Drosophila melanogaster: one gene and its partner. The protein of the gene in region 2 interacts with the protein of the main gene of each other region in a pairwise test. Each region holds a gene or a part of one and is shown on either strand. Other genes may lie near its edges.

Region 1 (7,298 bases), on a different chromosome or scaffold from region 2:
ACAAGGAAAATCTATTAGAATATTTCTTATGAATAGGTACTTTCTTACATCGATACCATGACAATCAATCTCTGAACCATATGAATCATCAAAACCCCCTCCATTTCTGGGCACTATTAAATATTGCTTAAATATTTATATATATATCCCCTTCAGTTTTTCGCTGTGCACTGATTTTGTTGTAGCTGCTGCTCCTAATATGGGCGATGATGTTGCATTTGCATTTGCATTTGCTGCTGCTGCTTCTGCTGCTGCTGTTCTTGTTGCAGTTGCAGTTGGCCTGGTGTCGTGTAGCCACCCATCGCCTGCTGCCCCTCCGCAGTCGGTTAATGAAACTGCCAAACGAGGCATCGCTGCCACATCCGCTGTCTCCCGAGCCGCCATCTATGTGTGTGTGTGTGTAGCTGTTGGCCAAGTGTTGCTGCTGCAGCTTCGGCCGGTGACAGGGGCAACATCATCATCACCGGCAGGCAACATCCCTGCCCACTCCGCCAGTCTCCGCCCAGCGAGCAGTCACGCTTGCTTGTCAAACACTCTGGCAGACTCTTACGATCTCCGCCGTCTTCGGATGCACCTCCTCCTCCCCCTGCTCCTCCTACGCCGCTCCGTAGCAAAATCCATTTGCATATTTGCATCCTTATGCCTGACAGTTAACGCCCCCCTCCGGACTTTCCACCTCTTGCAAGCGGCGCGCTTTTAACGACAAAGTGTGAAATTTCATTGAATTTGAGCTCGTTGACAAAAGTGGAATGGCAGCAGCAGCAGCAACAACGCAACAACTGCAGCAGCAACAACGCGCAGCAGCAACATCGCAGGTGTTGCAGCTTGTTGTTGCTGCCGCTCTTGTTGTTTGCAAATTAATTTAAATTATGGTTGCTGCGTTTTTTTTTTTCGACAAGCTTTTTATGCCATATTAGCTGAAGGCTGGGGCGAATTTTGTAATGGAGAAGGAAACCAGCTAATTTGGGAAAATCGATACTATCAATTAGTTTGCGTTATTTTGAAAACAACCACTTCATTATTGTATGCTAATATTTCGCACAGCGATTTTCAGTAGAGATTGCAGCCAGGTAGTTAAACTGAAAATTTTAATTTTAAGTCCACTCTTTAAAGAGTAAAACCTTTGGCATTTTAAAATATTAGAAATTTAATACACTTCTACGTTTTGTTGTTCAACGCGTTTGGAAAATTTGTGCGTGGCCACTTCTTGCCACCATGGAAGTAAGTACACAAATCTAGTGCTGCCGGAAAATAGTTTTGACCCATTAACCCGGGTTGCAACATTTTTTCCGCCACTTTTGCTCCACTTACCCGCAATGAGGATTTTCCGAACTTGGGCCACACGGCTTTGGCTTTAAGTAATTTTCTAATGACACCACAGAGGAAAAATGACTCTCGAGGACGACTTGGGGGCTGGCAAGTTGTCTCCATTCCCCCCCAGTTTTGCAGCTCCTGCTGGCGACGTTCATTAGATTAAAAGCAATTTACAGTAAAACTTTTTGCCACAAAACGCCTTTTGGCCCGATGTTGCTCCGCCTCCCTTCCAGCCCCCCCACAATCCAGCTGTTTCACCACACGTTCTGCAACTCACATGTGCCCAAAACGCCGTGCAAATGCTGCCACCACCAACTCCTTAAGCACTGAGAGAAAAGTTATAGTGCATAGCACAAATTATATATCTTACAAAAATACCGTTCTTGAGAGTTATGTCTACTTGCACATCATTTTGTGCATTTGATATATTTGCTTAATAATATATTTAATATTCGTATTTCCTCCGTGTAGTCATTTGGTGCTCTTTCCTCTTCTTTTGGAATTCAACAAATTTGCGGATTTGGTTTGTAATTTATTAAATTTATCGCATGCTCAGAGCGCCTTAACAGTCGTGCAACGAGGAGGAGGAAGATCCCGATGAGGATGAGGACGATAATGGGGATAAAGATGAGGATGAGGGTCACCACCCAGTGGGGCGTTTGGGAGAGAATGACCTACGCCTGCTAATGTCTGCGGTTGCGCTTTTCCGGCGGGGGAGGGGGAGGGGATGGGCAGTGAGGAGCAGATCCCCCGGACGGAGTCTCCAGGCAGTGGCATCTGCAACATTTGTTGATGACAACCCAAAGACACGGAGTGCAACATTTCGGCGAACATTTCGTTGGCCGTATTTTGTGTGCGGCACGCCCATTTGGGGAAAGTCATTGCGAGCTTAGAAGTTATTATTTTGATTTATAGGAAAAGTTCGTTTAGCGAGCGAAAGTTGCTCGTATATTTTCCGCAGTGGAGGATGGAAGAGAGGGGAGTTTGAGGAGTGAAAAAAATTAGATAGAAGCACAGCTTTTAAAGTGTGGCGAGTGCGGGGCGAAAGGCATTTGTATGTATGCAGCTCTTGTTTTCATTATTAGTGGCTAAAACTTTGAAATGTATCTGTATGTGTGCTTTTAGAACTGAAGAGGATTAGATAGAACAATCCAGCATACGGTTCGGAAAACTATTCTCACGATAAATTCCGGACTTCTTCACTGCCACAAATTCCCATTACCATAAACACTAACACTTTATACGTTTTGCACGACAGAAGTTTTACTTCCACAGAAATTTTTGCTAATGTTGCTCCAATAATTTCCAAATTTTCATACCGTTGCCAGCTTAGTCTGCAAATTGTCTGCTGTGATATTCTTCTTCGTCCAGCCACTGGAACAGGGCTTATCATTGTCGGGATCGCCTACGTTTCCTACATCCTTCTCGTTCCCCGGACACCCAGATGCGCAATACGAGTCATGGAGATCGGAGCAGTCCGTATTGCAGATATTTCGCCAGCCCTCCGAATGAATGTGGTAGAGACGCACGATTCCACCAGAATAGGCATCCTTACTGGTCGCATGGTAAATCGCTCGCCTGGCCAGGTCATAGGCCTCCTGATCGGAGAGATCATAGCGGTACCCAGTGTCCAATACGCCGAGCGCATATGGAGAACCGCTGCCCACGGAGAAGACTTGACCATGGGATCTCATGCCCTCCGAGTCCACGTAAATCAGCTTGGGTCCCTCGTCGTCGAAGCCGGCCAGCATCATGCCCATCACCAGACCCATGCCCTTGTACTCCGTGGATATGTTGCAGATGATCCGGGCAGCCGTGTCCACGGTCATGCGTTTCCGATAGCGCAGCTGGTGCAGGCGACACTCCTTAGCCAAAACCCGATCCCAGTAGACGCAATCGGCGGCTCCGCCGGCCAATGTGCCCAGCATATAGTCGTTCAGCTCGACTATTTTCCTCATCGTCTGGGATCCAATATACTGGCCAGAGGTGGCCCTAGAATCAGCACACAGAATCACTCCTCCGCGATACTTGAAACCCAGAGTGGTGGTGCCGTGATCGAAATCCATGCGAATGCCACAGTGCGACAGGATCTTGGGCAGATTTTCAGCGGGCTTGAGAAGAGTTTCAATCTTAGATGGATCTTTTGGATTATGAAACCTATACTAACTCTTTCGAAGGGAGGCGCCATCAGTTCGTAGGGATTCTCAAAATTACTGGTTGCCTCGCGAAGCTGCTCCTTCTGCCATTCGGACTGCAAGTCATCGAAGCGCCGCATAAAAGGCATTTTATTCATGCCGCAAATCGCTTCCAGAGCCATTATGTGTTCAAAAAGAGTTTATTATTTCCAATAAATAGTTTAGTGTAATGTGTAAATGAGCACACTAAACGAGCTCGAATGATTGTGGAGTTAAGTCTCTAAGGCATCTTACAAGTGTATCAAAAATGTACTTTAATCAAAACAAGATCACAAGATCAGAAAGCTGGACATCTTGTTCCCATCAAAATATCGCATTCCGCTTGAAAGTTTCGCTCCACTGGACAATCCGCAGCGGCAATTCGCAGTCTCCGATTCCATTGGCATTTCATGGTTAGTGGGTGAGAGTGGTCGCAGCGGCACTTTCGCCGGCCACCCAAGTGGAATCCAATGGACCTTCTGTGGGCAGTGGCAGTGGCAGTGGCAGTGGCGCCACCGCAGAGATACACGACATTTTAATTGGACTGCCGGGCAGGGTCATCATCGCCACCTGCCGAGATGCGAAATTGGGACCAAAACGAGTGGGGAATGGCATAGAAGGTGCTTTCGCAGTGACCACGCCCACTCGCAGGCGGTGGCAAACGGATTAGCCGCTAATTAAAGGCCAATTGGCAATGTTTGCCAAACTGTTTGAGTCCGCGGGTCGACTGGCCTGATACCCCCCGTGATATATGTCCCATCCCAGTGGCAGTCGCAGTCACTCCGGCTGCTCCCACTGCCTCCATTAGTGGACGCCATGTGTCACTGATCTAAATTTATGCAAATTGCCGAGGACTTGGCCTCCGCATTCCCCAAACCACCGAATTCCATTTCCCATTCCCCATTCCGCATCTCCCATCCGCCACATTGGCACATTTCATTTTTGCACGCGCTTTCCATTGCAGCCTGCATTCCCCCCGCCCTTCGAATGGAAAACTAAGGGGGCGGAAGCAATTCGGAGAAAGGCGGGCTGGAAAGGAAAAATCGAGGCAAAAGAAACGAGCTGGCTAAGCCCTTCATCCAAACATACCCTAACTATGAGTACATGAAACCACTCACTGTTATTTTATTGGTCACGAAGCATAATAGTTTACTGGACTATCTAAATGTTAAGTCTAAGTATTAGTATTAAGTATTATTTAAGTATCCAATTGGATACTTAAGGTTTGTCGGTATATTTTGTATATATTTATTATATAAACTTTAGATTGCTGTAGGGTATTCAGCTTATCAACAAATATGACAATTCTTTCGCAGCGCTGCAGTTGCTGGATAGTTTTGACAGCCAGCTCTGATTATTAAATCACAGGGCAGGGACAAACTGGAGCCGGGGCAGCAATCTGATATGCAAAATCTCGTCTAACCCAGACGATGCTACTCCACCAGCTCCTCCTGGCCACCATCATCCTGCATCCCGAATCCCCATTTCCCCCTCCCTGCCCTGCGCGGCATCTGTCCTGCGTTAATTACAGCCCAGTTTTGTGCACTGGCAACAACTTGTTAAAAATTTCCGCTGCCAGTTTATTAGAGGGCAACTAACTAAGGCAGCGTAGTGGAAGAATCTGGCCATTCCCTTCGCTTTTGGCCTGAAGTGGCTGGCAGATTACTCAGTCTGAACCTGTTTTAATGACTAAAATGACGCCAAGTCAAGAGCGAATAAGAGATTAGGCCAAACTTGAGCTTCCCGTCTGCGAATCGTTGCAGCGCTGGACCAAGAGCACGATTTTGTGGCATCGGATTTAGTTGAGAGCCAAAATAATAGCCTTTTATTCGGTGCATAGTTCTTAATTATTTACAATTTGAAATCACATGAGCCTTATTATACAATAGATGAACTATGCAAGATGAGCGAGTTGCTTAATAGACACTAAACATTGAATAACTTTGCTCTCAATCCACTTAGGCAACTTTGCTGAGTAATAAAAAATAAACCACCTTGTTGACAAGCTTAGGAATATTCCCCGAATCTTTTCAAAGAGTTTCTTTTTAAGCTCTCGAATTACAAAAACGAAACTCCGCCGAGAATTGTTAAAATAAAATTCAACTAAGGCGCACGTAAGCAAAAAGCGTTTTAGGGACTTTCGCCGGCGAATATTTTATTTCACTTTCGTTTTATTTACTTTTGCCGCTTAGCATTATTGTTTCAAAATCCTTCAAATCCGTTGTTTTACTGCTTATTGTTCGCCAACTCAGCCCACCAACTTTGTTGCCAGCAACTTTTAAGCTTGCTTAAGGCGCCCAACCAACCAGACTTGCCTGCTCCCAAAATGACGCAAAACTTTCCCATGACTGGGGCATCATACCCACCACCCACCAAGCCACCGATCTCAGTGAGCCACCCAACCACCGCCGTCCAATTTGTAGTTCATCATCTGTCCCGCGGACCTGTCAAAGCCCCAAAGCTGCCCAAATTGTGACAGAGCGACGGTCGGCGGCGGGGGATTCCCCGAAAGCAGTTTTGACATTTGCGTTTAATTTATTTTAATTGAAAAAGGCCCGCCAAATGGATTAGGCCGTCGTATTCACTTGCGGCCCAGACTTTTCCAAAATAATGCACATCAAAAAATCAATAGTAGCTATCATTAAGCTAGTTTCCACTCAAATCTCTTTTCGATGACCTTCAGGTTAAGTATTCACCTGAAGCATATACAATAAAACACGCTTTTCTAATTTCCATTCAATTTACATTAAATTTGTCTACGTGTGCTGCTTATGAAAAAGTTGATCCACATTGATCCGCCGACATCAAAGTCAGATACAAACCAGTGGGGCAAACTACAATACAATATTTGTACGCCAAACAAAGTGCGGGATTTTACGATGATGCATTAAATTAAAAACTTTGGCCTGAGAACAGTCCATTAGTCGGGCAAAAAGTACACGAAGTCCAATTGCAATGCTTATTTATGGGCCAGATTAAAATTTTATAAATGGAAAGTAATTCCCGAAGTGCGGCCATAAAACAAACTCCCCGGCCAACCGCTCAAACTTTTTCATCATCTCGCCAGGAATCGACATCTTGAGGGGCAGAACTTCTTGTAGGTTTTAACGACTAACGACTTTGCATTGGTTTTCATGGCCAGAGTGCCGAAAGCATTCAAGTTGGCTTTTATGGTTGACACAACATATTTGCCGGCATTCCAAGCCAATTGCCAACTCTCACATATCCGGAGATACGCATCCTAATTGTTGCGCTCCAGGATTTTATGGTTCTTTGAGAGCCATTAATCCGAATTTGATATCTGCCTAATTAGTTTTCCCTGCTTGGCTTTTATGGCCAACAGCGTCGTAAATTTTCATGATCGATTCGAGCGGTAAGGTGCGAAAAGAAAACTCCGCCCAGACGATAGGCAACCAAAAACAACGTGTTTCGTTTGCTGCATAATTGAATTTAATTATAAATCATCCATCCTCGCTGGCTTTTCTCTTTCTTGGATTGCCTTTCCGGGATTCGGGCGGGGGCAAGGATAGGTGGTCCATGTAGAATTCGATCACCATTTGGGGAATGCGTCTGTTGGCCTCGATACCTGGAACCACTTCCACCACGGGCGAGTCCTTGAACTTTATCAGAAACATCGTATTTTTATTCGCTGTCGTAAAAACGTAAACTATTTTTTCTACCATCCTACCCCGGACAAATGGCGTGCGGTCCATTATCTAAAAGAAAATAAAACAGTATTACTTATAAGTTTTCTATACCGGGAAAGCACCTAAATTCAACACTTTAGGTTGAATGCAAAACTCTTGCAAC
Region 2 (6,365 bases):
GAACTGAAAGAATGGGATATGGTGAAGCAATCATGTTTATAGAAACATAGTAATATGGTACTCACTTTTGGCCACTGTGCGTATGGAACGAATGAGGTTTAGCACCTGATCCTTGGCCGTAGGTGCTCCAAAGTCCTGCTGGCCCGCCTGTCGTCCCCAGCCAACTAAAAAGTGTGCCAAAAAATTGAACATCGTGGCATTGGAAGCAAAAATACTGTATGAGAACTTACACTTGGCCAGAAAGCGTTCCTCGTGCAGAATGCACACCGCATTCAGGCACAGGAGTGAAGATTCAATCAGTGTCCACAAAGTAAACATAATTGCGCGAAGTTATTCCTATTTACATCAAAATAAACCAAAATCGCCAATAATTGTTGACGTCAGTGATGCCGACTGCCATTCACTATGAGCGCAGACTCAGCTGATGTTGGCGCTCGGTGTGAATGGTAAATGATTATATGGACAAGAAATGCGCGCCAAATAAAAATTCAAATCTGGATCTAGTACTAGTTTTTATTAATTACTTTATTTAATATTAATCTGCGTATTTATTGAGCCCAAGGGAGCACACCCAATGCACATTTGGGCCAATCGGTATCTGGAAATAGCATTTACAGTAAGAGCGATAATTGATTAATTTTCAAATCACATAAATGCAAAGCCAAATCAAAACTTACGCTTGTCTAATTTCCAAACTCCCCAGTCTGATGTATGCTCTTTGCTTTGAGCTGCTTGTTCCAAAAATCGTTCCAAACGGTCTAGATTGTTGCTCTCCTCTGAAGAGCTATCTTCTTCCATAGCTTCCTCTTCATAAAATTCTTCAAGCTGTGCATCGCAGAGTTTAGTTAAATCCTCAATTTGCGTCTTGGTGTATGGAGGATCTGCGAGCGGTAATAATCTAAGAAAATGTCAATCTTATTAATCCAAAAGCAAGTAAACCCAAAAAAAAATGTATACCTACCCTTTTAGAATGGGCGCTGAGTAATTGCTAAATGCATCAACACGCTGCATAATAAAATCACGATCAAAAATCAAAGACCTGGACTTTTTGGGATTGTCGCCAAAAATAAGGGTAACCGAGAGATCGGCATTTGAGTGTACTAACAGACTGCGCATTGTCTTAGAAATTTTATCCGTGTTTAGGGTGGCAAAGTCCGCTGGTTTTAGTTTATCGTTCTGGAAAATAAAGAATATTTTAGTGTTTTCATCGTTAACACACTCCGTATTTATACTAACCAAATCCAGTTCGGCTTTGTACATGCGCTTCATACGGAACAGCATCCCAAATGTTTCCAACATTTTCTTTGCCCAGTAGCTGGCTCCCAGACGCCTTTGCTCCGACTCGTTTTGGTTTTCACTCAGTTGAACTAGGGCCAAAAAAACCTTCTCGATATATCCCTGCACGGCCAATAGACGGAAGAGTCCCTGTGTGGCTGCAATGATGACATCCTCGTTGTCGTCGATTTCCAAGCCAACGCCAAGGAAGTATTTCATTTTAAGCAGGCATTTTGTATATATGTCCAGCAGATCCTTCATCGATGATGACTCCTTTTTGACCAACGCACTTAGATCACCTAACACAGCACTCAGAATTTCTTTCGATGTCTTCGCCTTCTTGCTGGAGGAGTAGACTCGTATCTTATTGAATTCACCACTGGATTTTAGCTTGCTAATGGCCTTTAGTTTCTCAGCCCCCTTGATATGGCACTCCAGGGTTAGATCGTAGATCTCCAGAAGATCTGTCACAGCCTTTTCAAACTTAAGCTTGTCCTTGCGATGCAGTTTGCCAGCATCCAAATTGGACATGGTTTCCATGTGTGGCAACCAGTAGTAGGTGCGCAGCCACTCCAGACAATGATTCGAGGTGTTTCTCAGCACCTCCACAGGCGGCAGCTCCTGTCCATGGGCGCACAAGTGGCGCAGATCAACGATGAACGACTGGAGGCCCAGTTCCTTGGCCGTTTCATACATGCTGGACATGTTGTGTCCCTGGATAATGGAGGACATAAAGTTGTAGAATCGTGTAAAGGCACTGGCATAGGTGTCCTGTATTTTGGCGCTGCCCTCCTGGTCCTCCAAGTGCGCCTGAACAAGCACCGATGTGGCCAAAACCGCTGCCGGGCAGAGACTTCCTCTTCGCAGACACCAAATGCGGATTTTACTGAGCGCTTGACGCCATGTGGCTGGTGTGTTGGACTTGCCAAACAACCATTTGTACGTTGTATTAAATTCCAGCCTGAAAATGTAATGTTTTTATCAACGGATTGGATTTGTTTCCACTTTTTGTCTACGCACGTGTCTCGCCAAGGAGTGACCACAGTTCGTTGTTTTACATTTGGTGGCGGTGTGACAGGAACAACTTTGGCTTTCTGCTGTTTTCCCTTTTCAGGGCTTTTCTTTTTTGCCTCAAATTTTTCCTTCTTTGCAACAGCCATGGCAATTTGGTCTGAATAAATTTAAACAAATTCCATGCGAAACAAACCGCAAACGAAATCACAACAGTTGCAACAGTGATGAGCTAAATGCAGCTATAAAAATGAATTCCTTACACAAGTTTTGAGTTGGCAGAATAAATAATTTAATTTAAAAACATTTTACTCGCCAAAGGTTTCCAACCTAATGTATTTTACTAATCCTTGTCGGTTCAGTAAGTTTTTTTTAATATTTTGCTATTAATCAAGAGCAGTATCTCTTTTGGCTATTTCTAGACATTGCTTCGTTTGCCAACACTACCAACGTCCAACAGCTGATCGCGCCAACAAGACGCAGCCGGTTCTGTGTGAATGGTGAAATAGAATTGGAGCCAAAAATAATATTTTCTTCTTGTTCGATTGTTAAGCCTTTTCCCGCGCCCCCGCCATGACTAACAGCGCTTAACCCAATTTCCCAAAAGGGACGAAAATTGTCCTCCGAAAAAATTGAAGCTTAACTAGTTTCAACACATGTACGAGATCCAACATCCTGTTATCATCAACAACAACTACAACGTGGTGGACATACTGCATCCGGAGAATATCGAATTCGATGGGCCGTCTGCGGCGCGAAAGATGATAATTGGTTCATTTTCGATGTTCGTGATCTTCTCGTACCTGCAACTATTCTACATCCTGGTTGCCATCTATCTGGCCCTGCATCACGCACACCATTGATTCGAATTCTCTGAAGGATCATGTATCACTTTGTATCCGAGCAAACGCCGGAGGTGCGGCTCACAGATGAGGCACTGGTCACGAGCCACGTGACGCAGTACCTCAAGAGCTTTCAACTGGATGCCGTCCGCTTCGTCTACGATCGTTTGGCTAAGCGGGAATTCTGCATCCTGAATGATGAGAGTGGCCTTGGAAAGGTCGCTACGGTGGCGGCACTTCTAAGTGCCCTACCACCCGCCAAAAAAACACTTGTGGTGCTCCAGAACGATGAGCAACTGCTCACCGGTTGGCGATTCCATTTGGACACTCTCACTGACCTCCAGGTGTACATCATTCAGGGGGTGCAAGGTAATGCCTAATATTTAAATGGATTTGTTGATAAGAATGTTATCGTAATTTCACATTATTGCCATTTAAAAATTAAACTTCAACACCTTCACTTTCTGCCTTTACAGATACCACCGACTCCCCGCACAGCGTTTACCTGGCGAAATGGAGCCAACTACGGAGCATTGGAGATCTCAGTCGCCTCAAGTTCGACTACATTATGGTGGATAATCGGGGGCATTCGCTGAACAACAGCTTTTGCACTTCCATGCTGCTGAAGCAATTCGAGGGACGGGTAAACGTTCTTATCTCCAGTGTTGACGTTACGGTGAGGCAATGCATTCATAATATGGTTTATATCATTTTAGCTTATGTGGTTTCTCTCTCTCTGCAGTCCGACGTTAGGTTGCTCTACAATGTTCTACGGTTGGGCGGCCGACTGGAGCATCAGTACAAAAGCTTTGCGAGCTTCGATCGAAAATTCCATCTGCCAGATCCGAAGGAGGTATTCAGTAAGCGCATAGATCTCGAGGAATACTACAAGCAGCGGGGATTCCTCAGCGAGTACATCAAGTAGGTGAACCAGCAACGATCAGTTTCACTGTTGCATAAGACCGGAATAGTCAGTTGCATATGAAAATAACTTATATAATTTGTAGGGACTTTCGTCTGCGTCGTTTTCGTCATCAATTCGACAAGTCACTGCCACTTGTCGCACCGGAGCAATACAAACACAATCTGAATCTCTGGTTGGCCTCAAAGAACAGCCAGAGCACAATAAGCGGCTCAGATGTGTGCTCTACAATCGCTTCCATAGACAACAATCCGGCTCAGCAAAATAAAACTGGGCTCTTTGAAGAAACGGATAGGTTATCCGAGCACAGCGTGGATGATGTGGCAATGTCACCGCTGATATTCGAGTATTCCGAGTCTGACGATGAACCCCTAACAGTAGAACCTGATGCAGATCAAAACCCGGTATTAGTTGTATCCAGCGATGATTGTGAGATTGTAACACCTCCAAGTACTCCGCAAAATCGAACGCCCTCATTAAATGAATCACCAAGGACGAAATCAAAGAAAAAATTTAGCAAAAAAACGTCACCGCGCAAAAAAGCTGATCTCACCGATTCCGAAGAGGATGATGAAGCGACCGATAATATGCCGCCAAGGAAGAGAACTCGTGCAGCCACCGTTCATCTGACACCTAAGACAAGGAGACTCAATGTTCGAATTTTAAGGGTTTCCCTCGATACTCTGAGCACACCACCACCGTCCAGAACCACTACTGCGATCGTAACGCCCAAAACGGAGCCCACAGCTAGAAGAAAAAATCTGAAAAAGCGCACGGTGAGCCCAGTGGATGTGGGTCGTCCAGCCACAAGGGGAATGCAGCGCCTAACACGATCCGCTGAAACAAAAATAAACAGTAAGTACTTGAAACATCGCTCATTGGATGATGTCAAGCGTAGCTTTCCAAGGAGAGTCAAGTTGGAGGGTAACCAAACGCCCAGAAGTAGCAAACAAATAGTGAAGCAGGAGCCTAAGTCTAAAGTCGGGCAGGAAAAGAAACAGAAGACGGTGGATGTACCTGCTCAAGGAACTGCGAAACGAAAGCCTGGACGTCCGAGAAAATGCCAAACCAAGACTGAAGATTTGGGGAAGACAAAGACTAAGCCGAATTCAAAGCACTTGCCACCTACTCCTCAAGTTCTCAGTGGTAGCTCGTTGTCCTCGGAGTACATGCAATGTGCTCAGCGAATACCAGACAATTTGGATGCCATTGAGTCGCCCGCTTTTCGTGTGCCCTTTACACCTCAACAAACTCCAATGCTTCTAACCTTGCCGTCTACACACAATTTGCTCAACGATTCTGAGGTGGTGTCTATTCCGCTTTACAAAGATCCAGTTGAGACAGTGGTGATCAATAGCTCGCACGATGAGTGTTCTCCGCAGGATCCATCGCAGAGTCGTCGCACCAAGGCTTTGAAAAGAAAACGCAAACCCGTGACGTCCGTCAATTCAAGTTTCGGCGGCGGATTGGGTCTACCACCGGCCAAGAGGAGTGCCAACAAATCTCCAGATCTATTTAGCATATCCTCGGAACACTCGCAGATTCCGCTGGCGCAACCAAGACCCTCATCGCCCTTCGAAGGCTTTAAGATCTTTGGCTCTGAGGTGAAGCAGTTTCAGCAGCAGCTAGCGAAAGTAAATATATCGGTGCCAAAAAAGAAGCGAGATCGCTCGTGTTTGGATATCCTGGAGCAAATGTTCGAGCCACGACAACAGCAGTCGGCTAAAACTAGTCCCAAAGTCTTGCCAACCTTGCCACTGACCCAGAAGGATGATGCAGAGTCTACCATTACGCAGAGAAGAAGAACCCTGCTGGAAGATGACTTCTTTGAGATAACGAACAATGGCCAATTTGGCAGTCGCATGCGATTGAACTCCTCTGGCGAAGTATCGCCCGTGCAACCGGATCAACAGTCCGTCAGGCCGTCGCAGGCCAATAAAATCACCAATTATTTGATAGGTTCTGGAATTACGCAGGAGCGAACGCAACCTTCGAATGGTAATCGCAATTCCATTCTTGCATCGCTGCGCAAGTCACCCAAATCTCCCAAACAGGGTGCTAAATCCACTCAGGCCACGAAACTAACACGCTGGTTTGGCTCCGTCTTCGGCGGTGGAGCCTCACAGACCAGCTCCGTGGAATCGGTTAGTGCACCAAGTACGCCGGTGAATTCATCCACAAGTGCAGCAGCTTGTCAAACGCGATCGGCGAGAAGTGGTGGAGCATCAGGACCGACCAAAAGAAAGCGATTGGAACTGTTCAAGTGATGAACAGCAATCAATGAAAATGACAAAAACCAAATCAAATCAAATCCA

The links. The genes of interacting proteins can lie anywhere in the genome.
Region 1: the proteins of CG32075 (region 2) and Prosbeta5R1 interact in a two-hybrid assay, tested with the Drosophila melanogaster proteins (one large-scale study listed by BioGRID).

Annotation. Positions count from the first base shown.
Region 1 is NT_033778.4:23,306,098-23,313,395, forward strand, and holds Prosbeta5R1 (proteasome beta5 subunit-related 1), read right to left. Parts: upstream 3,720-7,298; 5' UTR 3,632-3,719; coding exon 3,482-3,631; intron 3,426-3,481; coding exon 2,628-3,425; 3' UTR 2,557-2,627; downstream 1-2,556. Other genes in the region: HP1Lcsd (heterochromatin protein 1L chromoshadow domain), read right to left, coding at 6,950-7,201.
Region 2 is NT_037436.4:11,062,226-11,068,590, forward strand, and holds CG32075 (uncharacterized protein), read right to left. Parts: upstream 2,717-6,365; 5' UTR 2,436-2,716; coding exon 2,296-2,435; intron 2,237-2,295; coding exon 1,237-2,236; intron 1,177-1,236; coding exon 962-1,176; intron 899-961; coding exon 678-898; intron 599-677; coding exon 549-598; 3' UTR 501-548; downstream 1-500. Other genes in the region: CG32069 (uncharacterized protein), read right to left, coding at 1-3, 66-164, 231-318; CG45101 (uncharacterized protein), read left to right, coding at 2,943-3,149; SuUR (suppressor of Under-Replication), read left to right, coding at 3,170-3,497, 3,605-3,804, 3,871-4,049, 4,136-6,317.